Linked DNA regions of Mus musculus. The protein of the gene in region 5 interacts with the protein of the main gene of each other region in a biochemical or structural test. Links are inferred from orthologs where the notes say so. Each region holds a gene or a part of one and is shown on either strand. Other genes may lie near its edges. The genes, in order: Evi5, Tanc1, Arhgef16, Arhgef26, Dlg1, Iqsec2 and Kcna4.

Region 1 (3,500 bases), on a different chromosome or scaffold from region 5:
GAAGTTCAGCAACAGTCCCTAGGGCGTGGGCTGGGGGGTGGGGGCGGCCTTTGGGGCTGGGCCTGGGGAGAAGAGGGACCTGCAAGCTTAATGCTGGAGGATAGGAAGTAGAGTGAAAATTGCATACTTGTCCAGGTTTGCAGTGTCCACTGGACGCACTCAAGGTAGTATTGTTGGTTGACCCAAAGGAATGGGTATTGACTAGGAGGCAGGATTTAGTGGCCCCCAGAAAGGGGGAAAGCTGGGTCTGCTGTAGTGTTTGGCATCCCCAGGGAATGGAGGTGGACTACAGGTTCATTTCATAATCTGACACCAGTTTCTGAAAGCCATGTTAGCTCCATGCTGGCTAGCTTGGGTGAGTGGAGACTTTAGAGTTAGTGTGGTTTAAATTGTGCTTCTGTGTTGTCTGAAGACATTGGACCGTCTTTATGTGATTATTGCCTACTTCGTTAACATTTCAAATGTTATCCCCTTTCCTCATTTCCCCTCTGAAAACCCCCCTATTCCACCCCCAGTCCCCACTCCCTACTCCCTAACCCACCCACTCCTGCTTCCCTGTCCTGGCATTCCCCTACACTGGGTTATCGATCTTTCACAGGACCAAGGGCCTCTCTTCTTATTGATGTGGCTGGAGCCATGAGTCCCTCCATGTTTACTCTTTGGTTGGTGGTTTATTCCCTAGGAGCTCTGGGTGTATTGGTTAGTTCATATTGTTGTTCCTCCTATGGGGCTGTAAACCTCCTTTCAGCTGCGTAGGAGATTTTTTTTATGTAAGTACACTGTAGCTGTCTTCAGACACACCAGAAGAGGGCGGCAGACCTCATTATGGGTGGTTGTGAGCCACCATGTGGTTGCTGGGATTTGAACTCAGACCTTCGGTAGAGCAGTCGGCGCTCTTAACCACTGAGCCATCTCACCAGCCCACGTAGATTTCTATACTTATTGCTACTGACTAGGAATTTGAGCCTGGTTTTGCCAGATCTTTATGTATAATGTATAGTTATACACACACGCACACACACACACACACACACGTTGTTTAGATATATAGGCTATACATGTGTGTGGAAAAGGAAAAAAGAGAAGGGATTTGGTTAATCATTACTTTTTAGATCTAGTACATAGTAAATATGGGATTTATGGATTACTGTGTATGTTAAGTATATATTAATATTGTTTCCCCCATGGAGCCACTCCCACCCTGACCTCCCTAACTTGAATGTAAAACATCTAAAAATTACACCTACTTATTTATTTATTTTTTTGGGGGCAGGTGTGGAGGTCAGAGGACAACTTGTGGGAGTTGCTTCTCTCCTCCTACCGTGTGAACCCCAGGGATTGCACTCTGGTTATCAGCAAGGGCCTTTACCTGTTGAGTCATTTTATTGATCCTTGAATTGTTTTTGAAATTGTTCAGGTTGGTTTTAAAACTCTTGGGATTAAGTGAATAAGTGAATTTCCTAATAGGTGAGTCTGTGCTGAGATTCTAAGACTATTGGTGTGCACCACTGTGCTGGGCTCCCTTCCTTGTTGTAGCTCTCTTGTGTGTGGTGTTGTGGCACACATGTGGAGGTCAGGGAGAAAGATCCCAGGGGAGTCAGTTCTCTTCTTCTGTTATGTGGGCACTGGGGACTGAGCTGAGGTTGTCAGATTTGGCAGCAAGCACTTTACCTTTTGAGCCTTCTCATTGACCTCTTTGTGGCAATGAATATGAATTATAATGGGGCTAATTGTATTAAATGCTTAAAATACATCTTACTGGCTCAGGTTTTGTTTTTTTGTTTGTTTGTTTGGTTTTTTCAAGACAGGGTTTCCTGGCTGTTCTGGAATGGTTCAGTTTTTTAACTGCTATGCATAGTGAAAAAGTGCAAGAGTTGCTGATTTCAACCAAACAAAAATTGTTAAAACTGTAACTTAGAGCTGGCATGATGGTGCTTACTTTTAAGCTATTCTGGAGGCAGAGGCATGTGGATCTTTGTGAGTTTGAGGCCAGCCTGGTCTACAGAGTGAGTTCCAGGACAGCCAGGGCTACAACTAGAATCCCTGTCTCAGCAACAACAAAAGCTAATAATTGTCGTGAAGTTTTTAAATGCTGTCCTTACTTTATCTAGTATCATGTGAGATGGTATCTTAAACACCTTTAATTCTGTTTAGATTAATAGAGACAGACAGTAAGTCTTTAAGATCAGTGAATGGGTCAAGAAGAAACAGTGGTTCCTCTCTTGTATCAAGTTCATCAGCCTCCAGCAACCTCAGCCACCTGGAGGAAGACTCTTGGATTCTCTGGGGAAGAATTGTGAATGAATGGGATGATGTACGCAAGAAGAAAGAAAAGCAAGTGAAGGTATTTACATTGTTTACGGAAGTTCTTTCTCTTATCCCAGAGGGTAAGAGGCATTAGGAGAAATGGAAGGATTCTCCTAGTAACCTGTGTGCTGTGTAAGGAACAGGTTGCCTTTATATGTCTTCATTGTCCATGCTTGATAGAAAGAAGTCTAGGTTGTAGAGATTCACAGTTGAAAAAAAATATTTTTAGAAGTTAAATTCTCCCATTTTGTAAATTCAGAAATGAAATGGAGACATACTGTGTTAGCATTTTGCCTTTTTCCTTCAGCAGCCCTTTATTTTTTATTTTTTTTCTTTTCTTTTTTTTTTTTTCCATTTTTTATTAGGTATTTCGCTCATTTACATTTGCAATGCTATACCAAAAGTCCCCCATAGCCGCCCACCCCCTCTCCCCTACCCACCCACTCCCCTTTTATGGCCCTGGCGTTCCCCTGTACTGGGGCATATAAAGTTTGCGTGTCCAATGGGCCTCTCTTTCCAGTGATGGCCGACTAGGCCATCTTTTGATGCATATGCAGCTAGAGTCAAGAGCTCCGGGGTACTGGTTAGTTCATAATGTTGTTCCACCTATAGGGTTGCAGATCCCTTTAGCTTCTTTGGTACTTTCTCTAGCTCCTTCATTGGGGGCCATGTGATCCATCCAATAGCCGACTGTGAGCATCCACTTCTATGTTTGCTAGGCCCAGGCATACTCTGACAAGAGACAGCTATATCAGGGTCCTTTCAGCATAATCTTGCTAGTGTATTCAGCAGCCCTTTAAATGTGATGGTGCAGTAGTGTGATGTGTGTAGCTCTGGACTGTCAGGGCCGTCACGCCTTGAAAGGCTATGTTTTCAGAGAGACAACAATTTATCATGGCTTTGTAGTCCCTGATCAGAACTTACCCAAGGTCAAGTTGTAACCCTTTTTAAAAATTTTCATTGTTACTAAAATTTTTTTTAAATTATAAAATTCATAAAGTTTTCCATTTCAATATTCCCCCCCTAAAACTCTTGGATCACAAGGTATGAGACATTTAAAAGTTTTGTTTTCTTTTTGTTTTTAGGAGCTTGTTCGTAAAGGGATACCCCATCACTTCAGAGCAATAGTGTGGCAACTTTTATGTAATGCACAGAGTATGACAATTAAGGACCAGTATTCAGAACTCCTGAAA
Region 2 (4,233 bases), on a different chromosome or scaffold from region 5:
TGTGTGTGTGTGTGTGTGTCTATAAATTTATTTATACATTTATTCCCACAAGTTAAAACTAAAGGTCCCATAATAAAAATAAAAGTTTGTTCTTCCCTCAACAAGGCCTCATATACATTGGACAAGAGCATAAATCCATTTTTCTAACTAGCAAATTCTTGACGTAACAGAAATAAGATCTTTACTATTGAGTTTGAAGTGCCTGGTGAAAACAGACCTACCTCCCTCCCAGCTATTCAGACAAACCTCATTATAATATGGATTACAGCTCTACTAGCCCAGGGACAGGGCTTTTAATGTTCTCTGGGAGATAAAGAATTAATCAGCAACCCAGAAAAGAAGTTGTCTAAAAATGGATGATTTAGTCAAAGTAATTCCATTGTCTCTAAAACTGTGCCCTCGATCACCAGGCATCAAAACCCGACTATGGCATCAAATAAATTGCATGTGGTTAAAGAGACAAAATGTTCTTCTGGCTGTTATGAGAAGCAGAAAAGGGCTGACTACGAATCAGTTATGTTTTAGCTCCACGATGAACATGAATTATGATAATTTAGACATTCTGGTGGTTAAACCAAAAAAGCAAGAAAATCAATACTTTGGCGTTCCAGCAAAAGTTAAGTTCGTGGCATGAGAATTGCAAGACAGAAACATGGAAGTGACCTTAAATTTATTTCTGGACTTTCCCACCCCCACCAAAATCAATGATTTCCCTCACTGTCCAATCACACTATTTCCCTCACTGTCCAATCACAGCAGTCAAGAAGCCTGGAAACATCAAGTTGGATGGTAAGAAAAAAAGGTCTACGAAGGAATCTCTAACGCAGTCACACGCCAAACTTCCTTGGCTTGGCATGCTTTTCATTGTAAAAGCACCAAGATCTATTTATGATGCTTTTTGATTGACACCCACAAGCATTCCAGCTGACACAGACTTTGCAGATTGTAAGGAAGTCCCTGTGAGCTCTTTAAGTAGCCCAGATGAGCAAAGCACGCAGAACAGTACCATAATGAGCACCTCTCTCAGGCGCTCATAAATTCTTTCATTCCCAGCAATCAAAAAGCAGCTGTTAAAATCCAGAACTCTTCCCAGTAGCAGATCTGAAATACCTCCGGGCTGCCCAGAGAAGCTCCACAACGGCTTCTTCTCTTCCTCCCTCCCCCATCCCTGGAGTGCCAGCCTGGCAGGATAAGGATGACCCAGGAAGGGGGTGTGGGTGGAGGGGAGTAGCGGATCTGGTGTAAGCAGAGACGCAAGACTCCCTTCTTTTTCACCACAAAGAAAAACTAACCCTCTGTGCCAGCCAACCAGGTTTCTCCTGCTCTCCCCAGGCACACTAACTTCGTAGTCTGATGAGTCTGGCATTTCTAGAGTTCGCGACCTCAGCCACCCTGAGTCCTTTCCTGAAAGATCTTGAACCAGGAGCTAGCGGCGTCTGAACTCCTTTACAGGTTAAGACTCAGCCTGCCTTTACCTTTTAACCCGCCAGGACGCTACTCCGGGGGTCAAGTTCAAGATGAAGGTGCTCTCCTCACCACCCTGAGTTCACTCTGCAGGAAGCTGTATTACTCAGACCGGTCCCACTACTCCAGGCACAAGAATCTGGGGCTGCCAAGCCGGAGCCGAGGCAGCCTGAAGAAGACTGTCACAGCTCGGCGTCCTCCTCCCTCGGCCGCGGCACCGCGTTTCTTCTACCTGGCCATGGCCGCATTTCCTCCGGGAGCCTTTACACAATAAGTCAAGTAAGTTTTGGGAACTCCAGTCCAGAGATCTTGCTGACTGAAAACACGCTACACAATGCCCAGGGCTTCCTTCCCCGCCAGCCGTTCCGGAAAGCGGCCGCGCCGAACCCAAGGGCCCCCCCCCACACACACACACACACCCAAAAGTCCTCCAGGAAGAACCTGAATCCCCATAATGCCTCCAAAGTAACTACTCGTCGCCCAAGGACAAGGGGACTCGCAAACTTGACACGACCCTTCATTTAGCTGGCACTACTAAAAGGAAGAGAAAAAAAAAAAATCCTCAAGGTCTAATCCCAAATCATCACCCTATCACCAACACCACCAGGGAAAGAAATTGGCTTGCATCTGCGAGCCGCAGCCTGCAGGAGCGAATCACACACTTTCAGCTCACGGTGGGCGATACGATTCCCCACCCCACCCCCACCCCCGCTGAAGTTCTCCCGGGAACTTGGCGACCCGCGCGCGGCGACACTCAAGACCCCGCGGTGCCAGGCGCCCCGCCTGCACGTCCCCCTACTCCCCCCACCCAGGTGCCCGGCGCAGCCCAGGCCCTGTCTAGCCAAGGGACCGAAGAGGCGGGCAAGGGCCGGCTGGGAAAGTCCTGAGCGCCGCGTGATCCCAATGTCCCCCTAGCCCGGCTCTGCTGCAACCCGTTCCTCCGGGAGCGCAGGAAACGGCCTGCACCGACTCCCCGGCAGCGCCTAGCCCCAGGCCGGGAGCTCCGGCGTGCCTGCGCCTATTCCGGGAAAGCTCCCGCTGGGCCCGGCGGAGGAGGGGGCGTCCCGAAACTTTCCCACCAGCCTGGCTCTCGTTTCCCAGGCTGCTCTCCGGGACCCTTCCTTCCCCGCCCGCTGCGGACTCCCGGGGGCCGGCAGCGGCGCCCCGGCAGCGAGAGTTACCTGCCAGGAAAGTTTCCAGCTTTCGGCGCGGTTCCCACCCCGGGGGCCGAGCCTCAGGGCGCAGAGGGCTGGGCGCTTGGCGGCTGCGGCTCCTGCGGCTCCCGAGCCGGGCTCCCGCAGCTGCCACCGCGGAGGCAGCGCTCCGGCCCGTCCCCGCGCCTCGCTCGGCCCACACCGGGACCTCATTGGCAGCGCGAGTCCCCGCCCTTGCGCGTGTTCCGGAAGGCACCTTCCCTGTGCGCGCCCGCCGGGGCTGTGCCTCCCGCGCCCCTCCCGACCGGAGCTGCCCCGGCTCTGGGACCCGCTGGGGCGCCGCACGCCAACTTTCCTCCCGGCGCCTTCGCCCCCTCCTCACCCAGCATGTCCTCTGCGGGAAGCTAAGCTTTCCGGGAGAAGGTTGCTCCCCTGGGGCCTCGCCTGGACCCCAGTGGGACAGGATCAGAAGTGTGATTAGCCCTCTCCTCCTTTTTTTAGCCGTTTTAGAATCAGTAAAGTGGCTCGGCCTTCGGTCTGCGCTGCTCTCTGAAAGCATCCGAGGAGGACATATGGGAGCAATTAGCCAAGCTGAAGTTTCCGCGGATGCCTTAGGGTGGCTTTGTTGGCTTTTCTTCCCCTCGCTTAACTAAACACAAACAAATACACTTTCTTGTTCCAAAATGAGCTGAGAAAGATGGAAAGTGCATCTCGCCCATTGCACCTTTTTCTTTCTGGAAAGTTAAGTTGGGGTTGTTCCGGGGATCAGTGACTGCCCAGAGTCAGGGGCAGTCCTCCCTCCTCGAACTCTGTGGCTAGCAGTACTGTCTGGGCTAAGTACACTGGCCAGCGGCTAGCTTCCTTGTCAGGAGGAGGAGTCCTGGAGGAAGAACAGACAAAGATGCTATTATTAAGTAGGCTGGTGGCAGTAAATTAAACTCCCTAGTTCCCAAAATGTTTTGTTATTCCCAATAGAACAGAAGTTTGAAAATGGCCTAGGGAACTGGGAGACCTGGGTCCTCCACAACCTCCCAGGAATCCAGGCAGCCAATTTATATGTAGAAGGCTCAGCCCTCTCTATTCCCAAAAGCCCTTTGGGCCCCCTTTCTTTGCAGAAGGATCAACTAGAAATTCCAACAGGAATTGCACACAGGCCGCCCATCCGTGTAAGGAGAGTGAAGAATACAGAAGTTGCTATAAATGGGTTTATTGCCAACCCCTAACCTTTGCTGTGGCAAACCTGCCTTTAAAGACAACTGTGTTTTAAACAACTTTCCCTATAAAAACTTCAACCTCACATAGAGCTTCCCAATATAAAGATAGCTGCAAGAATGGTGTTTGCATTTAAAGTTCCTGTGAAAAGTGACAGGAAGCAAAAGGCTGCTCAATCTATCTCTCCATAATAAATAAAAGATGGTTCGAATGTGTTGGGTATTTTTCACTCGTATAGTCAAAGACCTGATTATCACTATATTTATAAGTATGCAGCGAACATATCCCAGCCTTTACTCAAGCAAATCATGACATGAATATTCAAAGCAAGTAAGGACTCCTGGTAAGCCAGGAAGGTCACAGACACCCCCTCCACCTCCAATGCTGGTTGTTAAAAACCAGG
Region 3 (3,500 bases), on a different chromosome or scaffold from region 5:
GTCTCACTGTGTATGTGACCCAGGCTGGCCTCGAACTCAAGAGCCTCCTGCCCCAGCCTGTTCGGTGCTGAGGTTTTATGGGGTGTCTCTAGGGTCCTCTTAGGCTCAAGTCATTTCAACCTATACAGAGTTCTGAGCATATAAAAGGCTTCCTCTATGCTGGCTCCTTTGTTATTAGAAAAAAATAAAGGGAATTTTTTTTCAAGAGGCAGTTTCCCCCTGGAAACTTTACATTAGGGTCCTATAGAGTTCCTTGACTCTTGCTGGCCTGTCTTAAGTGCAGCGTCAGATGCCAGAGATGCCAGGAATTCTGTTTGGTTCAGAAAAGCCTTGGCTGCTGCTTTACAGCCCTTCCAGCCAGTCAGGGATGTTTGACTGGACTCTGCAGGTCATTTAGGAACCTGTTAGATATCCTCAGGTGAGGGCCTTGTTCTTACTGAGCCCATTTTGCAGATTTGAAGACTGAAACTGAGTGGTGGCATCTTTTAATCATTAAGGACCCCAGGTTTCCAGGCCCCCAACAGGGCAACTCCTGACAAGTGTGGAGGACCCCCAGTCACGGAGGTAAGTGGACAGCTGACCCTAAGCAGATTGGTCAGTCTTGCTGACTGGTCCCCACACAATGTTTCTTCCACACCAGCCTTTACGCTGGCTCTTGCTGTATCTAGACCATAGCTCTGTTCATTTCAGTCTCTCAGGCCTGCAGGATTCCCTGCCCGGGAGGGTCACCCCTTCCTCTTAGTTAGCCAAAGCTCAGCCTTAGACTGTGTGGTACCAAGGGAACAGAAAATGCTAATGCTGTAGGAGGAGATAGAACATTCTGGAAACCACCACTCAAGGCTGCCTGCTGTTGACAGGCTATGACTCAATGATTAAAGATGCCACCACTCAAATTCAGTCTTCAAATCTGCAAAATGGGCTCAGTAAGAACAATGCCCTCACCTGAGGATATCCTAACAGGTTCCTAATGGGCCACGGTGGCAGACAGGGGTGGGGGAGACAATGCTAAGGGTAAAGGAGTCAGAGACGGGCCTCAGGCACATGCGCTGCTCTGCTGGGATGCACGGGTGGAGTGGCTGAGGAATCGCATGTTGGCGGTGGCTTTCGGTCGCCAGGCTATGACTCAGGCTGATTGAAGATCCTGCCACTGCCTCCCTCACCTGCACTGTGACCCAGGGTTCACCTTGGGACTCCCAAGATGGGGATTATGAACCCCCAACTTCTGAAAGTACAAATGTGTGTTGGAGAGTGCTGTGAGGAGAGTCTTCTTAGCCAGCCTTGGAAACTCTGCCTGGCCAGGAGAGGGGAGGCAGCCGGCTCCACTCAGATCCTGGCTCTGCTGCTTCTGTGGTGGACGCCACTGAGCAGGAGGGCCATGGTCAGGTGGAAAGTGTCCTCTCTTTCTGCCTCCATCCTGCTTGCTCTTCCTCATGATCTCAGGGTCAGATGGCCCCTTAACAAGAAGGCAGAGCCAGGCAGGGCCATGGTCTCATCCACAGCATTTGCTGCAGTCTCAAGAAACCATCATTAACTCCAGGAAAACCATACACAAAATACCCATACATCAATAAGGGGCCTAGCCAGGATTCTGGTCCTGGTCTCTGTTGCTTCTGGGCCCAGCCACGGATCTTCCCTTAGTTGCTAAGTCCTGCCCAGGACTTAGCAGTTGTGTCAGAGAAATCAGGGTGGTCCCCCAGGCTCATTCCAGCCACTCTCTGCTCCCACCAAGTCTTTGATCTCAGAGAAGAGCAGTTATACAAGGATCAGGGTTGGGCCCAGGGAGGCTGTATGCAGATATCCCCCTTCTCCCCAGCCTTTCACCTCTTGCTTGCCTCTCTCTAGGCCTCCTCTGTCACCAGCATGTCCCAGAGACATTCTGACAGCTCTCTGGATGAGAAACTACTGGAGTATCGCTTCCACGCAGAGCTGCGCCTCGATGCCAACGGGAACCCTATCCCTGGACTCCCCATGGTCCGGAGCTCCTTGAAAGCCAGAGCCAATGCTGCCTTTGAGCCAGATGCCTCAGAACCCCTGCCGCCACCTCCGTCACCAGAAGACGAAGAGCCTCCTCGGCCCATCGTCCTTAGCACGCAAAGCCCCGCGGCCCTCAAGATGGGCACGCAGCAGCTCATCCCCAAAAGTCTGGCTGTGGCCAGCAAGGCCAAGACCAAGTCCCCAGCCCGCCACCAGAGCTTTGGGGCGGCTGTGCTCAGCAAGGAGGCTGCCAGGCGGAATCCTCAGCTCTTCTCAGCCCCCAGCTTCTCGTTGGATGACATGGATATGGACATGGTTACTACCGGGAACCTGAGGCGCAACCTGAGGAACCAGTCCTACAGGGCAGCCATGAAGGGGCCGGGGCCACCCAGTAGCAAGGGGGACTCAGTCCAGCTTGGCCCCAAGCTCCAGGCTCTCGCTGAGGAGGCTGCTCAGCCTCCCTCCCGGTATCCAGCCAAAAATAAGGTAGGGACCTGCCCCGACAGCAGGGTGGGCAGTGTGTCTAGGAGCTCTGGGGTTCACAGGCAGGGAGCCAGCTTGGTCCTGCGTCTTTCACATTTGGCATCATGAATGGCCGCTATTACTGAGCCTTGCCGGGTGCAGGCTCCTGACCATCTTGGTTTAACCGAATCCATTTGAATCTCATTGCTGTGGCTGGAGGAGGTTGACTCAGGCTCTTGGGAGTCCTCCATCCCTGCTTCCATCCAGAGTGGACAGCAGAAGGAACCAACCCAAGCATGGAGCCAGCCTGTCTGATGACACTTTCAGCAGGGCCAGGCTCAGGCTGCCAGTGGGATAAGGAGGGTCAGTGGGTAGCCCTCACCACCTGTCCCCCAGCCCTGCCCCGGGTGAGCAGAGCTCATTCCTGAGCTATGGTGTAGACCCAGCTGTTCAGAACAGAATGGGGTCCTGGCTCTCTGGGTCTCCAGGTATCTGCTACAGATAGCCACTGGGCAGGAAGACCATGATCAGATAGTAGTAGCCTTTCCTTCCCCCATCCGTTCTGCTTATCAGGTCAGATGGGAGAACCTCTGTTTAACAGCCATTCAAGGCAGTTGATTCCCAGGATAGGGAGCTAGGAGGTCTCTGGGCCTAAGGTGCTTCCCTCAGACTCAGGGGCATCCCAGTCACAGGGTTCAGTCAGCTTCCATGAAGGGCCTAAGATGGGCCTTTGTGGCTTTTTTTTTTTTTTTTTTTTTTTTTTTTTTTATGAGACAGGGTTTCTCTGTATAGCCCTGGCTGTCCTGGAACTCACTCTGTAGACCAGGCTGGCCTCGATCTCAGAAATCCACCTGCCTCTGCCTCCCGAGTGCTGGGATTAAAGGCATGCGCCACCACGCCCGGCCCTTTGTGGCTTTTTGACCCCTAACAAATTACCTAATACTTCTGAGCCTCAGTTTCCCCATATATATAAGTGAAGGCTGCCATCCAGCTGTAGCGTACTCCAAAGATGAGTACATGCCCTCTGTCGCCTAGGGCTGCACTCAGCATCATGGGAAGAGCAT
Region 4 (3,500 bases), on a different chromosome or scaffold from region 5:
GGCATCCCATTATTTGTCAGGACCTACTAACAGTGCTTGAGGATTGTCACCTTCGAGTACTTTATCAAATATCACCTGCAAGTACTCCAATTCCTTGATGGTTTCCTGGCGAAGGTCATACCTTCATGGCCTGGAGAGAAGCCTGGAGACACCCTTAGGCATCTGGGGAGCCCTCTGTCAGCTTTTCTTCTCAATTTATAGTCCTTCTTTGAAAAGCTAGTTCCAATTTACCTTGTTAGCCTCAACTTCCTCTGTTTAGATAAGATTCAAGCAGCAGCAATACAGTAAACACAGATAGAAGGCTACCTTGATTTTAAATTCCAGCTGGGAATTAATCGTGTACATCATCTCTGTCCGCTCCATCTTCCGTGCTCCTTCATTGCACAGTCGGACCAACTGGGAACACAGCATAAGGAGAGGTAAGAAATCTGAAGGGCAGCCTCAATATTTTATTTTATTTTATTTTGGCCCCTTCTCCCACAAGAAACCACACTTTCAACTTTCCCAGAAAATGATCTACTTTCCAGAAATTCCAGGGACCCGTTTCTGATAGTTAGAGAACTCACAGTTCCACCCAGGAGGGACACTGTGCCCAGATAGGAAGCATGTGACCAAGAGAGAAAAGTGTGGTTGGGGATGGGGTAAAGGACTCAGAAGATTTTCAGAGATGTGTTTCCTCTGTGGCTCCGCACCCTCCACACGAGGTTTCATCACACATGTTAGGTCTCTAACTACTCTGATCCTGTCTTCTGTCTAGCTTCGTCCTTACCTATGAGAACCCAACTCTACCTCAGGGCAGGCTACAGCTCCTACACTCTTCCAGACCAGAGCAGCAGGAGGCAGACTACCAACTTTATAGGCAAAATCTAAGCAGTGTTACATGTCAATCATGGGACCACAAAAAGATTCTGGAAAGGGAAAGTCTGATAATTCTTCAACAATACCCAACTAAGAGAAGCTCTGCTCAATTAAAAATACTGAATGATCTGCAAATAAATGGTCAATGAGCCTTTGATACTTAGTAAATATTTGGGCCACTGGACTAATCCTAAACTTTGCAACCTGGCTTTTAAAGAAGAGTAAAATAATGAGTCTGTTTAAAGCTGATACAAAGAAATAGTACTTTACAGTAAAGTGGAAGGAATATCTTCTTCCATTCATGCAGGAAGCAAGCAAACAACAGGAGATATCCAGGAAGTTTCTGGCATGTTCCGTCTCCACTCCCCTGTGCCTTGCTCATATGTCACCTGCAGGGATGACCATACTTTCCTCTGCTCTCTCAGCCACACCACCTAACAGTAACTAAACATACAGACTTCTATCTTTAAATAAATATCCCTTCCCTTTCAGCCACATCTCTTTCTCTTTGTAGGCCTGGTCCCTGGAGGAGCCAGCCACCGAGCAGCTGGCTCTATGGTTGGCACACCCTGCTCACTGCTCAGCATCTTTCAATGTGGTTTCTGTTTCATCTACTTTAGGATGAACTCTACAGACGGCTAAATCATTCGCCTCTCTTCCTTTCTCAAGAGCATCCATGAGCTAATTGCTTAGCCATTTTCTAGGCTATCCTGTTTTCCCTTCCTCTAACATGCCTTATTCGTTTTTACATCTCTTATACTGATTACATTCCTCTAAATGAGACTAAAAAAGTACTAGTGTTCTCTGGGATTTTACTACGGGCTTCTATGCTCCCCATTCTGCATCCTCATACCAGGTAGATCCCTTTATACTCCAAACTCAAATATCCCCTCTGCTGACGATTCCCAGATCCAGGTCTCCAACGTTTGGCTCTCCTCTAAATTCTCATGCAAAATTCATGTTTTATAAGATCTGCATTATTATATATCCAAATGTAATTCATCTTTCCACAGTATGAAGTTAAAAAACAAATGATTCAGTTGTCCAATCAGGGATTATATTTCTTTGACTCCTGTCTTCACCATTTCCAAACCTACTATACATATTTATCTACACATGCACACACACAGCTTCTTCTCATCTTATTTGAATTTATATCTCCATCATTTTATCATCATCTGAGACCATGGCTTCCAACTCCCTAACATATGTAACAGACTCCTCCCTCCTTCCCTCTCACCCTCCCCCTTCCCGCCTCCCAATGAATTCTTCAAATCCTCCAACACTTTTATTTGGGTCTCTACACAACCCAAACACTCTTTCCATGCCTGGCTGACAACTATTCTTGCTGTAGATCTCAGTAAAAATATCACTCTGTGCCCTACCCCACCCCATCAGTCATCACCCTTTACAGTAATTCTATTTACTGTATGTCTTTCTCTTCATTCTGCACATGCCGTAAATGCAATAGCCACATCTGCTTATCAGCAACATTCAGAGGGCAGCATTAGTCCTGCTACAGTAGTTGATACTCAATAAATATTTGTTGGGAGGAGAGAACCAACAAATATCTATTAACACAGCAGACAAAAGGAGATATGAACGGGTACATAAAACAAATCCTATCTGAAACAGTCAACATCCAAACTTACTTGAATTTGGCTTCGTGAATCTCAGTCTTATATAGCAAGCACAGACCTGCAAGACTCTTCCAAAATTTCTACATGGTTTATTGATATCATGGTGAACAGTTACCTTGCTCACTTCCTTCAAGGCCCTTTTGCAGACTTCATACTTTGGAGAGTCCTTGGGTGTTTTTTGACAGATAGTCTAGGATGAAGTAAAAAGAAACAAAGCCAATTGACTTAACATAGGTAGCAAAATAAACTACTATTTAGCTATTTCCTCTTACTCATGCAAAGGACTGTTTCTGAACACAATATGAGGGATGAGGATATTAAAGTGTAACTAACAAAACCTCAAAGTAAGCCGGGCGTGGTGGTGCATGCCTTTAATCCCAGCACTCGGGAGGCAGAGGCAGGCAGATTTCTGAGTTCGAGGCCAGCCTGGTCTACAAAGTGAGTTCCAGGACAGCAAGGGCTATACAGAGAAACCCTGTCTCAAAAAAATAAAACCAAAACAACAAGAACAAAACAAAACAAGACAAAAATTAAAAAAAACTAGGAAGTATTCTTTAAATAAATAGAGCCTAAATACCGAGGAAGACTCAGAGGTCAGTAGGTAGGCTGACAAATCTCAGACCTGCCTTATGCTAGGGATTTACCCATGGGCATGTGGTTGGTTGTAGATAAACATCACTTTCCTCCTCTGCAAACTTCGGCAATGGCAGGTATAAAACAGGCTATTGCAAGAGGCTGATGCTTATCTTATTCTGTTTCCTGTGCAGGGATCCAACCTGGCCTCGCCCCTGCTGAACAGGTGCTCTTCAGAGCCACCTCCCAGCCCTGTTCCAAGAGTTAAATGGTAAGAGATCTGTGCATCTTATCTAAATGCCAAACATACTGTCAGCTCCCAACAAAGGAGAAGTTACTCTGAAGATCCATTAAAGGTAAGCTGAAATATGAATGTCTAAAATATGAAAATATGATCCTAAATCTTTAAAAATACAAAAGTTTTGACTG
Region 5 (3,940 bases):
AGGAATACTAGAATAAGGTAATTAGACAGCATCATCTCTGAGATCATGTTTCAGGTCTAAAATTCATATTCCACAAATGGCAACTCTAACAGAGGGTGTGTGTGTGTGTGTGTGTGTGTGTGTGTGTGTGTCAGAGAGGCAAATGCTCTCAAGCACAGCAGCAGAGCCTTTCAAATATTTCCAAGGATTCCAGAGAAACACACGCCAACTACAAAAACACCAACAGTAGTTCAGTTGTCACGACTGGTGTCCTAAAACATTTCTACAACTTGTCCATATTCCAGCTGTTAACTCTAAGACATGAAACTGTGCTCTCAAAGTGCACAGAAATCACCAGACCAGAAGTTTTTCTGATAATTAAACATTTTTAGAAGTGACAGTGGCCTAACTGCAAAATAAAAAATCACTAGAGATGTCCTAAGTTAAGGACCATCTAGAGAGCCAAACACATTGTCTTTCAAATTCTAAGTTTAACATAACAGAGAAGCATCAGGCACTAGTACAGTGGTCAAGAGTAGAAAAGTTTTAACTCCCACCTATTAAAGCCTGAAAGAGGTTGCTCTGAAATATGTTAATAACCCGCTCTATGGAACTTCTGAGTTGTCTGTCTTCAGTTTGGCTTAGTTTCGATCGATATTCTTCCAACAGATGCAATGCTCTCTGGGTATCTGAAAAGACAAATACGGTGAAAATTTCATGTATATATTAAGGCTCTGTGTGTATCTGCATACATATTTACATGAGAGTGCTACACGCTACCTCTACAAGACATCTATAAGTTCCCCTGAGCCTCCAAGGCAAGGGCTGCCATCACTATATCCATATTCCATTCCCTACTAAGACAAATATTTTAAAGGCTTTATATCACAGCAGAGAAAGGAGAAAGTGAGTAGCCTGTGTTAGCTGTGGACTGACAGCTTCCAAGACTAAAAGACCGTCTAACTAAACTGATAGCAACTTGGTTTTTAGAATGCCTAACAGACAAGAACAAGTTATCTACAATTTGTTCCTATAACCAAAACGTGTTTCAAAACATTAATTCCTAGTTGCTCACAGAGTTGCTCACAAAATAGTGTTGATATGAGTGATAAAGTGAAATACTGAAGCAATGAAGTTTTGAAAAAGACATGGTAGGGGGCAGATTGCTTCTGTTGATTGCTTCTGTAATGACTACAGATGTCAAGAAGGTGTGTGCAACCAACTAGATGTTTCCACCTTCTGAAATGATGGGAAGCTCTGATACCATAAGGAATAAAAGCGAGAGCCTGCTGATTCCTCAAAGTCACACAAACCTTTTAAAAACAGTAACCACAACACTGATGTATGTTACAGCAAGTGACAGCCACAAAACAGTTCCAAAATAAATTCTCACCTTGCTTCCGGACCGGCATTTTTCTCCAGAATCAGGAAGGCGGCACACACCTTTACAAACACAAAACAGGAAGGAAAACTTGAACTAATGCAATGAACTGAATCGTGGATCCATTCGTTGCCCCCGCCCCACCCCACTTCACCCCACCCTACCCGACCCCATCCCCCGCCCCAAACTCTCGACTAGGGAAAAACTCCAACCTTGGTGGAACTGCCCACCTTCCAAAGTTTTCCCAAGTGGAAAAAAAGCAGAAGCCTCAAACCCCCAGCAGTGTCAGCCAAAGCGGAAAGCGAGTTCTCGGGGGTCGCTATGCCCCCTACAGATTAAGATCAGACCCAAGCCCGCTTCGGTAGGTGCCTCCAGAGCTCCCCCCTCCGCAAAGAGCACCTGAAGAGGAGAAGCCCGGCCGCCGCGGCCGCCGCCGCCGCCAAGGCGTGCTTGCCACGCTCCCCACCTGCTGCCGCGGGCCGGCCCGTGCCCAGCCGCGCAGCGCCCAGCCGAGCGCCCGGCTGCTCCCCCGGCCCGCTCGGGCCCCCTCCTCTCGCTTGCCTGGTTCCTCGTTCGTCTCCTCCCGGCGGCGACTCCAGCAGGGGCCGGACCGGACAGCCGCCGCTCTCCGCGCCGCTCATGCACCCCCCTCCGCGGCCTCCACACCTGCGGCTCCGCCGCAAAGTTCCCGCGAGCGGCGTACGCGGGCGCCCCGGGTGCGCTCCGGCCGGACTCGGAGCAGCTTCCCCGCCCGGCCCCGCTCCACGTACCCCGCCCCGCCCCGAGCTCAGCTGAGGGGGTGAGGGGACGGGGGAGGAGCTCCCCCTTCGGCGGCCGCACCCCCGCGCCGCTCTCTCCGCCTCGGCCGCCGCCGCTCGCCCGCTCGCCGCGGCCCGCGGCCCCTGCTCGTCCGCTCGCCTCCGGGCCGCCCCACCCCCGGAACCTCGCCTCCTTCCGCGCCCCCAGTCGCTCTCCCCCTAAACTTTCCGCCAAGATGGCGGCCCTGGAGCTGGCCTGCCGCGCGCCCACGTGACTGCTTTCCCCGACGCTCTCAGCCAATGAGAAGTGAGGAGGCGGCTCGCTCCGAGCCCCGGGCTCCGGGCGCTGCTACCGGGGTTGGAGAAGGGAGGAGGGCCGGGAGGAGGGCGGGGAGGGGGCTGGAGTACTGGAAGGAGGACCCTTAAGCATCCACAGGGAAGCGCCTTGCGGAGAGGAGCTCCGGTGGAAGCGGCTCTGGGGACAAAGGAGTTGACACGCGCTCTACAGGTGGCCCGAAGTGGCTTTGGGACAGCAAGCCTGCACGTTGCCCTAGCCCACCTCCGGTGGCCTGCGGTTCTGAACTAGCGCGCCGGACTCGAGTTGCTGGAGACTTTGAAAGAGAGAAGTGACCTCACCTGCGCTAGATCCCAAGAAACAAGCTCAAGACACCCCTCACCTCACTGAACACGTGCTGGCCAACTTCAAGAAAGGAAGAGTGCCTGGCACGCCCGGGGTGGATCCCCAACAGGGAAAAAGGAATTTGTGCGGAGCTGCGCACCAGTCACCCGCGTTAAGGGGCGGAGGAAGAAGGGACTTAGGAGGGGAAGGGGTATTGTATGTCTTCCACTTTTTGCTGGTTTTTAAATTATTCGTTTGTCCAGAAAAACAAAAAAAAAAAAAAAAAAAAAGGTTTGAGGAGTTTCATTAAGGACCGGATGTAAAGCGGAGACGGATTAGTTTGCTAAACGTTTGAGGGTTTCAGAGGATTTTTAGGTCTAAGTGGTTAACTCCTAGTACGAGCCGTTTAAACAAGTGAAAAGTTCAGTCGTTAATATTTCATTCATTCATGCCTGCATTCATTTGTGCGTTCATGAATGTGTCCCCGCCCAGAGATGCTCCCAGGAGTTACCCATCTTATGGCGGTCCCTTTAAGAAACTCACCTGTCTACCCCAGCGGTGGTGGCACAGGACTTTAATCCCAGAAAGGCTAAGTAAGGCTAATCTTTGTGAGTTCGAGGCCATCCAGAACAGTGAGTTCCAGAACAGCTAGGACTACACAGAGAAGAAACCCTGTCTCAGGTGGAAAACAAAGAAAGCAAGCCTCTCGCTGCCAGCCCTCACACCTAGTTTAAATTTCAAGCACCTCACAGCCCAACAAACAGTCCCAAGGGACACTTGCTCTAGAACTGAGCCTGAAGGGGAAAGTTCTCCAAGTCACTGACTCGAGCTGCTTTTGAGCAGCAGGAACTTCTCTGCTCCATAGCCCAGGAGAATTTTTCCAAAGTCGTCAGAAGTTCTTGAAGCAGAACCAGAAATGCAGAGATCCATGTGTGTCAAACCGTAAGGCTGGATCTGCTTGGATCCAGCTTGAAGATGATTCGCTTGGTTAAGGTTCTTGCCTATGAGCCTGATAACCTGAATTCCATCCCTGGGTCCCACATGGTGGAAGGAGAGAGCCTCCTGTTTGTCCTTTAACCTCCATGCACAGACACATTTAAAATCAATCTACCGGTACTTGTGTTTTAATTAAAGGGGGAGAAAGATGAGGGGTTTTTTGGTTTTTCAATAAACCTGACAGGCCTTTTCTGTGTCCTTGACAAT
Region 6 (3,500 bases), on a different chromosome or scaffold from region 5:
TGCCTTCTCCACCAGCTTGCAAGGAAGCTCACATTTGCCTAGAGGTCTGAGGTCACCAACTAGACCTCCAGGGACAAGAAAGAGGAGAGGAAGACAGGAACAGGAGGACGAGGCCTACTGAGAGGCTCTTACCACTTCCCAGCACTGCAGTGCCCTACGTTCAGGCTGCAAGTGGCAAGGGCCCTCCAATCTGAAAGGAAACCCCATGACAACTGCTGGGGGTTGGAAGAAGGGTCTGGAGATACAGAGGAAGTGGAAAGAAAGACACTGCTGAGTGTGTATATATATTTTGAAAAAACCGAGGAAGAAGAGAGGGGCAAGGTCCCTCTCCTGTGGATTTCTCCAGACTATCCTGCTCCCCAGTACACTCATCCCGTTCCTCAGACCACAGTGCTGATCCGGCTTGGCTTGGCCTTGGGGTTTGCACTGGGTGGATTAGCCGTGCCAGGGGGCCCAGAGGCGTGCAGTGGGCCATGGGGGGAGGTGGGTGGTAGGGGTGAATGTGGGGTGTGAGGTGAGGGTGGGGGCAGGGGAGGGTAGGAGGGATGAGGTGGGATGGGTGAGTGTGGTGACAGTGGTGATTGGGGGTGGTGAGGGTGGGAATAGGATCCCCCTGGTGGCCGGGACCCAGGGCCCCCAGCTGCACCTGCTGCTGGCATCATCTGTGGGTGGTGACTGAAGATGAAGTGCTTGGGGCCCTGTTTATGGGCAGGAGGGTGCTGTGGAGCAGGACTGTACAGGGGTAATGGGGATGTGGGCTGGTGCAAGGGGTGGCGGCCGTGTGGAGCAAACTGAGGGTGTCCTCCAGCCCCTCGTCTTGGGGCTCTGCCTGGCCGGCCCAAGGTATAATGCTGGGGTCCTGGAACTGGGCCATGGGCATGGAAGTGTCGATGTGGCCCCACAGGTGGGGCTGAGGCAGGTGGTGGTGGAATGGAGCCCAGCTGGGGCAGGGGTGGAGGCTGCTGAGGGGGTGGAGGCAGAGGGGGTTGCTGGGGTGGGAGGTAGGGTGGTGGGGCAGGGCCCGGTCCTTGGCAATACTGGGCATGCAGGGCCTGGAGCTTGGACTGCCCATCAGGTAGCACCCCCAGGCCACCATGGCTGTGACCATGGTGGTGGTGGTGATGGTGGTGGTGGGTGGAGGAAGCAGATGAAGACGAGGCAGAGGCCTGGCCTGTTGGTGGTGGTGGCATCTGGAAGGGCCCTTTGCCCCTCTTGCTTCCAAATAGGGAGCCCAGGAAAGATGAGGAGTTGGAGACTGGCCTCTGGCTCTTGTACTCCTCTGGCGGCGGGGGTGGGGGCGGAGGTGGCATCCTCTGGTGAGGGCGTGGACTGCTAATAACAGACCCCTGAAAGGGGGGAGGGGGGGAAGTCAGGCCAGTCTAAATATCCTAAACCCCCAACCCTAAATTCCACCCCTGTCCCTGAAGCTGGAGCAACAGGGATCCCAAAGTGACAGTGGAAACCAAACAGCAGTCCTGTATCTGTGGCCAGCTCTGCTCCCAAGCTCTGTTGCCACATCCACTAGCTCAGTTGAACCTCAGAGGGCAGAGGAAAAAGCAGTAGGACTTCCTTAGCATGATCATTTCTCAGGCCAAGAAAATGTGAGGCCTAGAGAGGCAAAGTAACTGGCTCAGGGTCAAAAGAGCAGGATATGGAGGTTAACGTTTCTTGAGGCCCAAATCCAAGGGCCTCCCTATTTGGAGTTGGCCCTGGGGTTGAGAAGGGGCATGGGAGAGTGGAAGACAGACTGAGAGACAGGCAGAGTGAGGACAGACAAGAGTTGAGGACAGATGGAGAAAGTGGTTGTTTGGGAGAGGCAGCCATATGGTTCCCAGCACGGAAGAGGGGTAGGCAACAGGTCCCCCTCCTCCTCTGGGGCTCTATGGCCAGGGCAGGGCTCATGCAGAAATGAGTGGGGCAGGAGCTGACACTTACTTCGATGGTGCTGTCCAGCGATCCCACGCTGTTACGCCGCCCCCGCTTCCCTGCACCCACAAGCAAGGAGCCCAGCGTCAGAGCAGCAACCCTCCCTCCCCACCCTGCTGGGCTCCAGAGCTGGGCACCAGGCCTAGGTCCCTCCCAGGGACAGACACCCCATTGCCCCCTTCCCCCATTGAAGAGGGGGAGGTAGGGAGGAAGAGAGGTTGAGAAGGAGGAAAGAAAGGAGGAAAAGATGGAGGAGAGGCAGTAAAGGAGAGACAGAAGAGGGAAGAGGAGAGGGGCTGAGTCTATGGCCCCACTTTATACTCCCTGGCAGAAACCCTGGGCCCCACCTGTTCTGACCTGGCTACCAGGCCCCCTGTGGCATAGTGCCCAGGGCTCTGAATGGTGAGTGTGTGTGTGTTTGTGTGTGTGTTTTGGGGGAAGGCTGACAGCCAGTGACAGGAGGCAAAGAGGACACCTGGTCCCACATCTCCCCAGCCAAAACAGGGGCCCAGAACACTTACCTGCATCAGAGAGGTCTCGCAGGGAACTACTGAGTGCACCCCGCTTGAGCCCATCGCCTGCCCCATAAGTGTCCTCCAGACTACTGCGGGCCAGAGTCCCATTCACTGAGTCCTTGGCTCCTCCAGGCTGTGAGGCATTAGGCCGCATCATACCTTTCTGCTTTTCCAGCTCCGCTGGATAGCAGTGAAGAAAACGGGCAAAGGTCAAGAAGAGCATTAAGAAAGAACCCACCTGGTTGACTACAGCCTTCCTCTTTTTTTTCCTCCCTCCTTCTGGTTCCCCTCCTTCCTGTCCACTCCCACACCCTAGTAGTAATTGTTTCCCCTAAACTGCTACTCTATCTTCAAAACTCCTTAGGTGCCTACCCCATCCTATGCCACCTGCTCCTTCCTGCTCCTTCTTTTTTCCCCCTCCCTGTAAGTGTAAGTGCCTACTTTCCCTGCTCCCTTTCCATCTTATCCTTCATTTTTTTACCCTTTTGTGTTGTTTTGCAACACTTGGCTCACAGTAAGGATGGGAAGGCCCTTCTAGCCTATGGCGAAGGACAGTCCTTTTAAAGTTCGCTCAGTTCTCAGAGGAGTTCTTGAAAGAGCAAGGGCATGAAATTGATTGGAAGCAAACCCTCTAGTATATGCTGGGCAGTATGCTAGGGACAGTGTATACTTGATCCCTCTCATTCCACATTCTGACCATCATCTACATTGTGCAGAGGAAACTGAGAATCTGAGAAGTCACAGTTTGCTCAGGGTCAGAGAGTTGAAATTTGTGAAGTCAACATTCTGGAAGCAGGTCTATCCTACTCTCCTGGCTCCCCTATATCCCCAGTAAGGTCAGGGAAACTGATCTATTGGGCCTCTTGTTCTCTTGATATGGCTAACCTCTTACACTTCCCCTGGAAGCTCTGGAATCCACTGAACTGATACTCTGTTTTGCTGAAGACCTATCAAGGAACTAACTACTGCTTCTCTTTCTCTCTGCCTTCTTTCTCCTTGATGCCATGTTACTTAACTAGGACTGCTTAGCTTAGAGAAGAAAAGACAAGAGAAAGAGAA
Region 7 (2,708 bases), on a different chromosome or scaffold from region 5:
GAGCTTGAAGATCCGGAATACTCGGACCAGACGAATGATCCTAAGGATGGCAAAGGACATGGCCTGCTGCTGCTGGCCATTGCCACCCCCCTGCTGTTGGGCCAGGTCAGTGCCCAGAGTGATGAAGTAAGGCAAAATGGAGACGATATCAATGATGTTCATGATGTTTTTGAAGAAGAGTGCTTGGCTGGGACAAGCAAAGCATCGAACCACAAACTCAAAGGAAAACCACACAATACACACTGTCTCCACGATGAAGAAAGGGTCATTGAATATTGTGTGCCCTGAGTTCTCCAGGTGGGGTGCCGAGGTGTCATTCAGCAATCTGCTGTGCCCGCCTGCACTGAGGGCCATAATAAGGTCCCTATCATCCCTGAACTCCGGCAAGGTTTCCAGGCAAAATATGACAATAGAGATTAAGATGACCAGGACAGACACAATGGCTATACCCCTGGCAGGGCTAGAACTCTCTGGATATTCAAAGAGAAGCCAAATCTGTTTTTTAAATTCATTTTCTGGCAGAGCCCTGTCCTCCTCTTCTCTCACAAAGCCCTCATCCTCCCGGAACTTGAGCAGGGCTTCCTCTCCCAACTGATAGAACTTCACCTCCTCGGTGAAGATATCAAAGGGGACATTGACTGGTCTCTTCAGGCGGCCTCCTGACTGGTAATAATACAAAATGGCATCAAAGCTGGGTCGGTTCCGATCAAAAAAATACTCATTGCGCAAAGGGTCGAAGTACTGAGTCCTCTTCTCAGGGTCTCCCAACAGAGTTTCTGGAAACTGGGCCAAAGTTTTCATTTGGGTTTCGAAGCGTAGACCAGACACATTTATCACCACACGTTCACAGCAGTCACTATAGCGGACTGAACTGTAGCCGCCACCACCCCCATCATCCTGTGGCAGCAGGTCTGTGTACGAACACCCATCCCCATGGTCTTCTTCACTATAGTAAAACCTTCCCTCCTCCTCCTCCTCCTCTTCCTCCTCCTCGTCTTCCTCTTCCTCGCTTAGCTCCCTCAGGATCTTCTCTTCAGAGCCACTGGGCATCAGGTCTGAGCAATGAGGAAAACTGCTCTGCCTGTGGTGGAGTTTCTTCTTCTCAGTTCGCTGACGCCTCCTCCTTCTACTTCCACGGCTACCTTGAGGATCATGGGAGGAGTAGGCCCCACGTGTCTGATGATGGTGGTGGGGGCCTCCACCAGAACCCCCAGTGCCTTCGACAGCAGCCGTGGCAGCTGCGACAGCAGCAGCTGCAGCTGCCCTGGAGTGAGCGAGTCTCTCCCGCTCTCGGGCCCTGGCCTGGGCTGCATAACCATAAGGCATATGGCTGTTGCACCCTGAGCTCTCGGCACTCACCATCGCCACTTCCATGGTGGTGGTTTGGGGAAATGGCTGCTTCCAGTTGTAAGAGAAGAAGAAAGAAAAATAGGGCAGCTTATTTTCTTACCAAATTAAGGTAAGTTTGGAAGCCTTAAGCAGATTGCTTAGAAGACGTGGGATATTTTCAGTCCAACTTTGCATTTTCTGTTTTTAAATCAGCACAGCCTATGCTCCCTCTTCTCAGAGACTCGGCGTTGCTTTCCAGAGCTTGCCTCGTCTAGACAACAGCCTAGTGTTCCTCAAACATAAGTCATGAAATGATGTGGTCTCCCATACACCTACGTGTTGGGGGGTAGATGTTCAAATCTGGAAGTCTGTCTGGGATGCTGTCCGGTGATGACGCCACAAGACTCAAAGACAGCAAGTATCTGACACTCAGAAGTTGTGCCTAGAAAATGAAATATACTTTTTCTTGCATGGAAATTGGCCAAGGCCCAGTCCATCTAATTTAAATAAAATTCAAATAAGTCTTTAGTCTTAGCACTTGCCTTCTACTGATGGCTTGACCCATGTTAAAATGCGGCTTAAAATATGCCCAGCCATTGCTGCTTAGTCTATGAGGGTGGACTCCCAGACCTTCCCTCTAAGGTCATCCAAGCCTTCATGGACCCACAGACAATGCCAGGTTGTAGATAGAGGCAAAGACCTTGGAAGGTAGAGAAGGTGGTAGACGCAGTTCCAGCAGAGGCAAACTCAACACTGAGGTCTCCATAGAAAGCAGGAAATGAAGAGCATCCTTTGGCTAGAATCATTCACAAGAAGCACTTCACCTGAAGAGGGATGGGAAATAAGCACAGGGGAAAAAAAAAAGAATCAAACCATAGAGAGCAAACAGCCCTTTACTCCACATACACTGCTCTTGTCCTCAGGCAAATCATGAAACACACACCAGGAGACCATAACTTTTCAAGAATACGGGGCAGGCTGCTCTAAAATCTCTCCCACTCAGCATCCACCTTGCTCTCTTCTTTTGTCATTGGTTCAGATCAGTCTGTTTGGTGGCAACTCATTTGTTTAGGTCCTGTCCATTCTCAACCCACACGGTTCTTGCTTTCCTCTGCCCCTTCACCAATGCCAGGTTTAATTCTCAATAGTATCCTCTTCATTCCACAACAGTGATGCTCTGACTTTACAGCTGTTTCCAGTATTCATTTATCTCAAGGAATTCTCCTTAAAATTTTCACTCATGGAATGTTGCTGAATTAAGTACCCTTACATTTTTCTTTTTCTTGGGATTAAAGAAGTGGGGAAATAAAACATTTTTCTTCAGTTTAGACTCCACTACTTGAATGATCATCAATTTCCTAATCATAAAATGTAGACAA

The links.
Region 1: the proteins of Dlg1 (region 5) and Evi5 interact in a test that uses a peptide from one of them, tested with the Homo sapiens proteins (2 studies listed by IntAct, with this or other methods). The link is inferred for Mus musculus from reciprocal best matches to the Homo sapiens genes DLG1 and EVI5.
Region 2: the proteins of Dlg1 (region 5) and Tanc1 interact in a test that uses a peptide from one of them, tested with the Homo sapiens proteins (2 studies listed by IntAct, with this or other methods). The link is inferred for Mus musculus from reciprocal best matches to the Homo sapiens genes DLG1 and TANC1.
Region 3: the proteins of Dlg1 (region 5) and Arhgef16 interact in a test that uses a peptide from one of them, tested with the Homo sapiens proteins (2 studies listed by IntAct, with this or other methods). The link is inferred for Mus musculus from reciprocal best matches to the Homo sapiens genes DLG1 and ARHGEF16.
Region 4: the proteins of Dlg1 (region 5) and Arhgef26 interact in a test that uses a peptide from one of them, tested with the Homo sapiens proteins (2 studies listed by BioGRID and IntAct, with this or other methods). The link is inferred for Mus musculus from reciprocal best matches to the Homo sapiens genes DLG1 and ARHGEF26.
Region 6: the proteins of Dlg1 (region 5) and Iqsec2 interact in a test that uses a peptide from one of them, tested with the Homo sapiens proteins (2 studies listed by IntAct, with this or other methods). The link is inferred for Mus musculus from reciprocal best matches to the Homo sapiens genes DLG1 and IQSEC2.
Region 7: the proteins of Dlg1 (region 5) and Kcna4 interact in a biophysical measurement, tested with the Homo sapiens proteins (2 studies listed by IntAct, with this or other methods). The link is inferred for Mus musculus from reciprocal best matches to the Homo sapiens genes DLG1 and KCNA4.

What each region holds. Positions count from the first base shown.
Region 1 is NC_000071.6:107,820,549-107,824,048, reverse strand, and holds part of Evi5 (ecotropic viral integration site 5 protein), read left to right. Parts: intron 1-2,154; coding exon 2,155-2,344; intron 2,345-3,392; coding exon 3,393-3,500. UniProt on the Homo sapiens protein: Functions as a regulator of cell cycle progression by stabilizing the FBXO5 protein and promoting cyclin-A accumulation during interphase. May play a role in cytokinesis.
Region 2 is NC_000068.7:59,610,609-59,614,841, reverse strand, and holds the start of Tanc1 (protein TANC1), read right to left. Parts: upstream 2,801-4,233; 5' UTR 2,646-2,800; intron 2,135-2,645; exon of another isoform or gene 1,476-2,134; intron 1-1,475. UniProt on the Homo sapiens protein: May be a scaffold component in the postsynaptic density.
Region 3 is NC_000070.6:154,289,896-154,293,395, reverse strand, and holds part of Arhgef16 (rho guanine nucleotide exchange factor 16), read left to right. Parts: intron 1-453; exon of another isoform or gene 454-564; intron 565-1,842; coding exon of another isoform or gene 1,843-1,860; coding exon 1,861-2,460; intron 2,461-3,500. UniProt on the Homo sapiens protein: Guanyl-nucleotide exchange factor of the RHOG GTPase stimulating the exchange of RHOG-associated GDP for GTP. May play a role in chemotactic cell migration by mediating the activation of RAC1 by EPHA2.
Region 4 is NC_000069.6:62,425,777-62,429,276, reverse strand, and holds part of Arhgef26 (rho guanine nucleotide exchange factor 26), read right to left. Parts: intron 2,689-3,500; coding exon 2,614-2,688; intron 397-2,613; coding exon 307-396; intron 1-306. UniProt on the Homo sapiens protein: Activates RhoG GTPase by promoting the exchange of GDP by GTP. Required for the formation of membrane ruffles during macropinocytosis. Required for the formation of cup-like structures during trans-endothelial migration of leukocytes.
Region 5 is NC_000082.6:31,662,303-31,666,242, reverse strand, and holds the start of Dlg1 (disks large homolog 1), read right to left. Parts: upstream 2,801-3,940; 5' UTR 2,755-2,800; intron 2,309-2,754; exon of another isoform or gene 1,922-2,308; intron 1,423-1,921; 5' UTR 1,392-1,422; coding exon 1,373-1,391; intron 669-1,372; coding exon 537-668; intron 1-536. UniProt on the Homo sapiens protein: Essential multidomain scaffolding protein required for normal development. Recruits channels, receptors and signaling molecules to discrete plasma membrane domains in polarized cells.
Region 6 is NC_000086.7:152,220,768-152,224,267, reverse strand, and holds part of Iqsec2 (IQ motif and SEC7 domain-containing protein 2), read right to left. Parts: intron 2,622-3,500; coding exon 2,448-2,621; intron 1,986-2,447; coding exon 1,936-1,985; intron 1,347-1,935; coding exon 381-1,346; 3' UTR 1-380. UniProt on the Homo sapiens protein: Is a guanine nucleotide exchange factor for the ARF GTP-binding proteins.
Region 7 is NC_000068.7:107,293,589-107,296,296, reverse strand, and holds part of Kcna4 (potassium voltage-gated channel subfamily A member 4), read right to left. Parts: intron 2,154-2,708; 5' UTR 1,375-2,153; coding exon 1-1,374. UniProt on the Homo sapiens protein: Voltage-gated potassium channel that mediates transmembrane potassium transport in excitable membranes. Forms tetrameric potassium-selective channels through which potassium ions pass in accordance with their electrochemical gradient.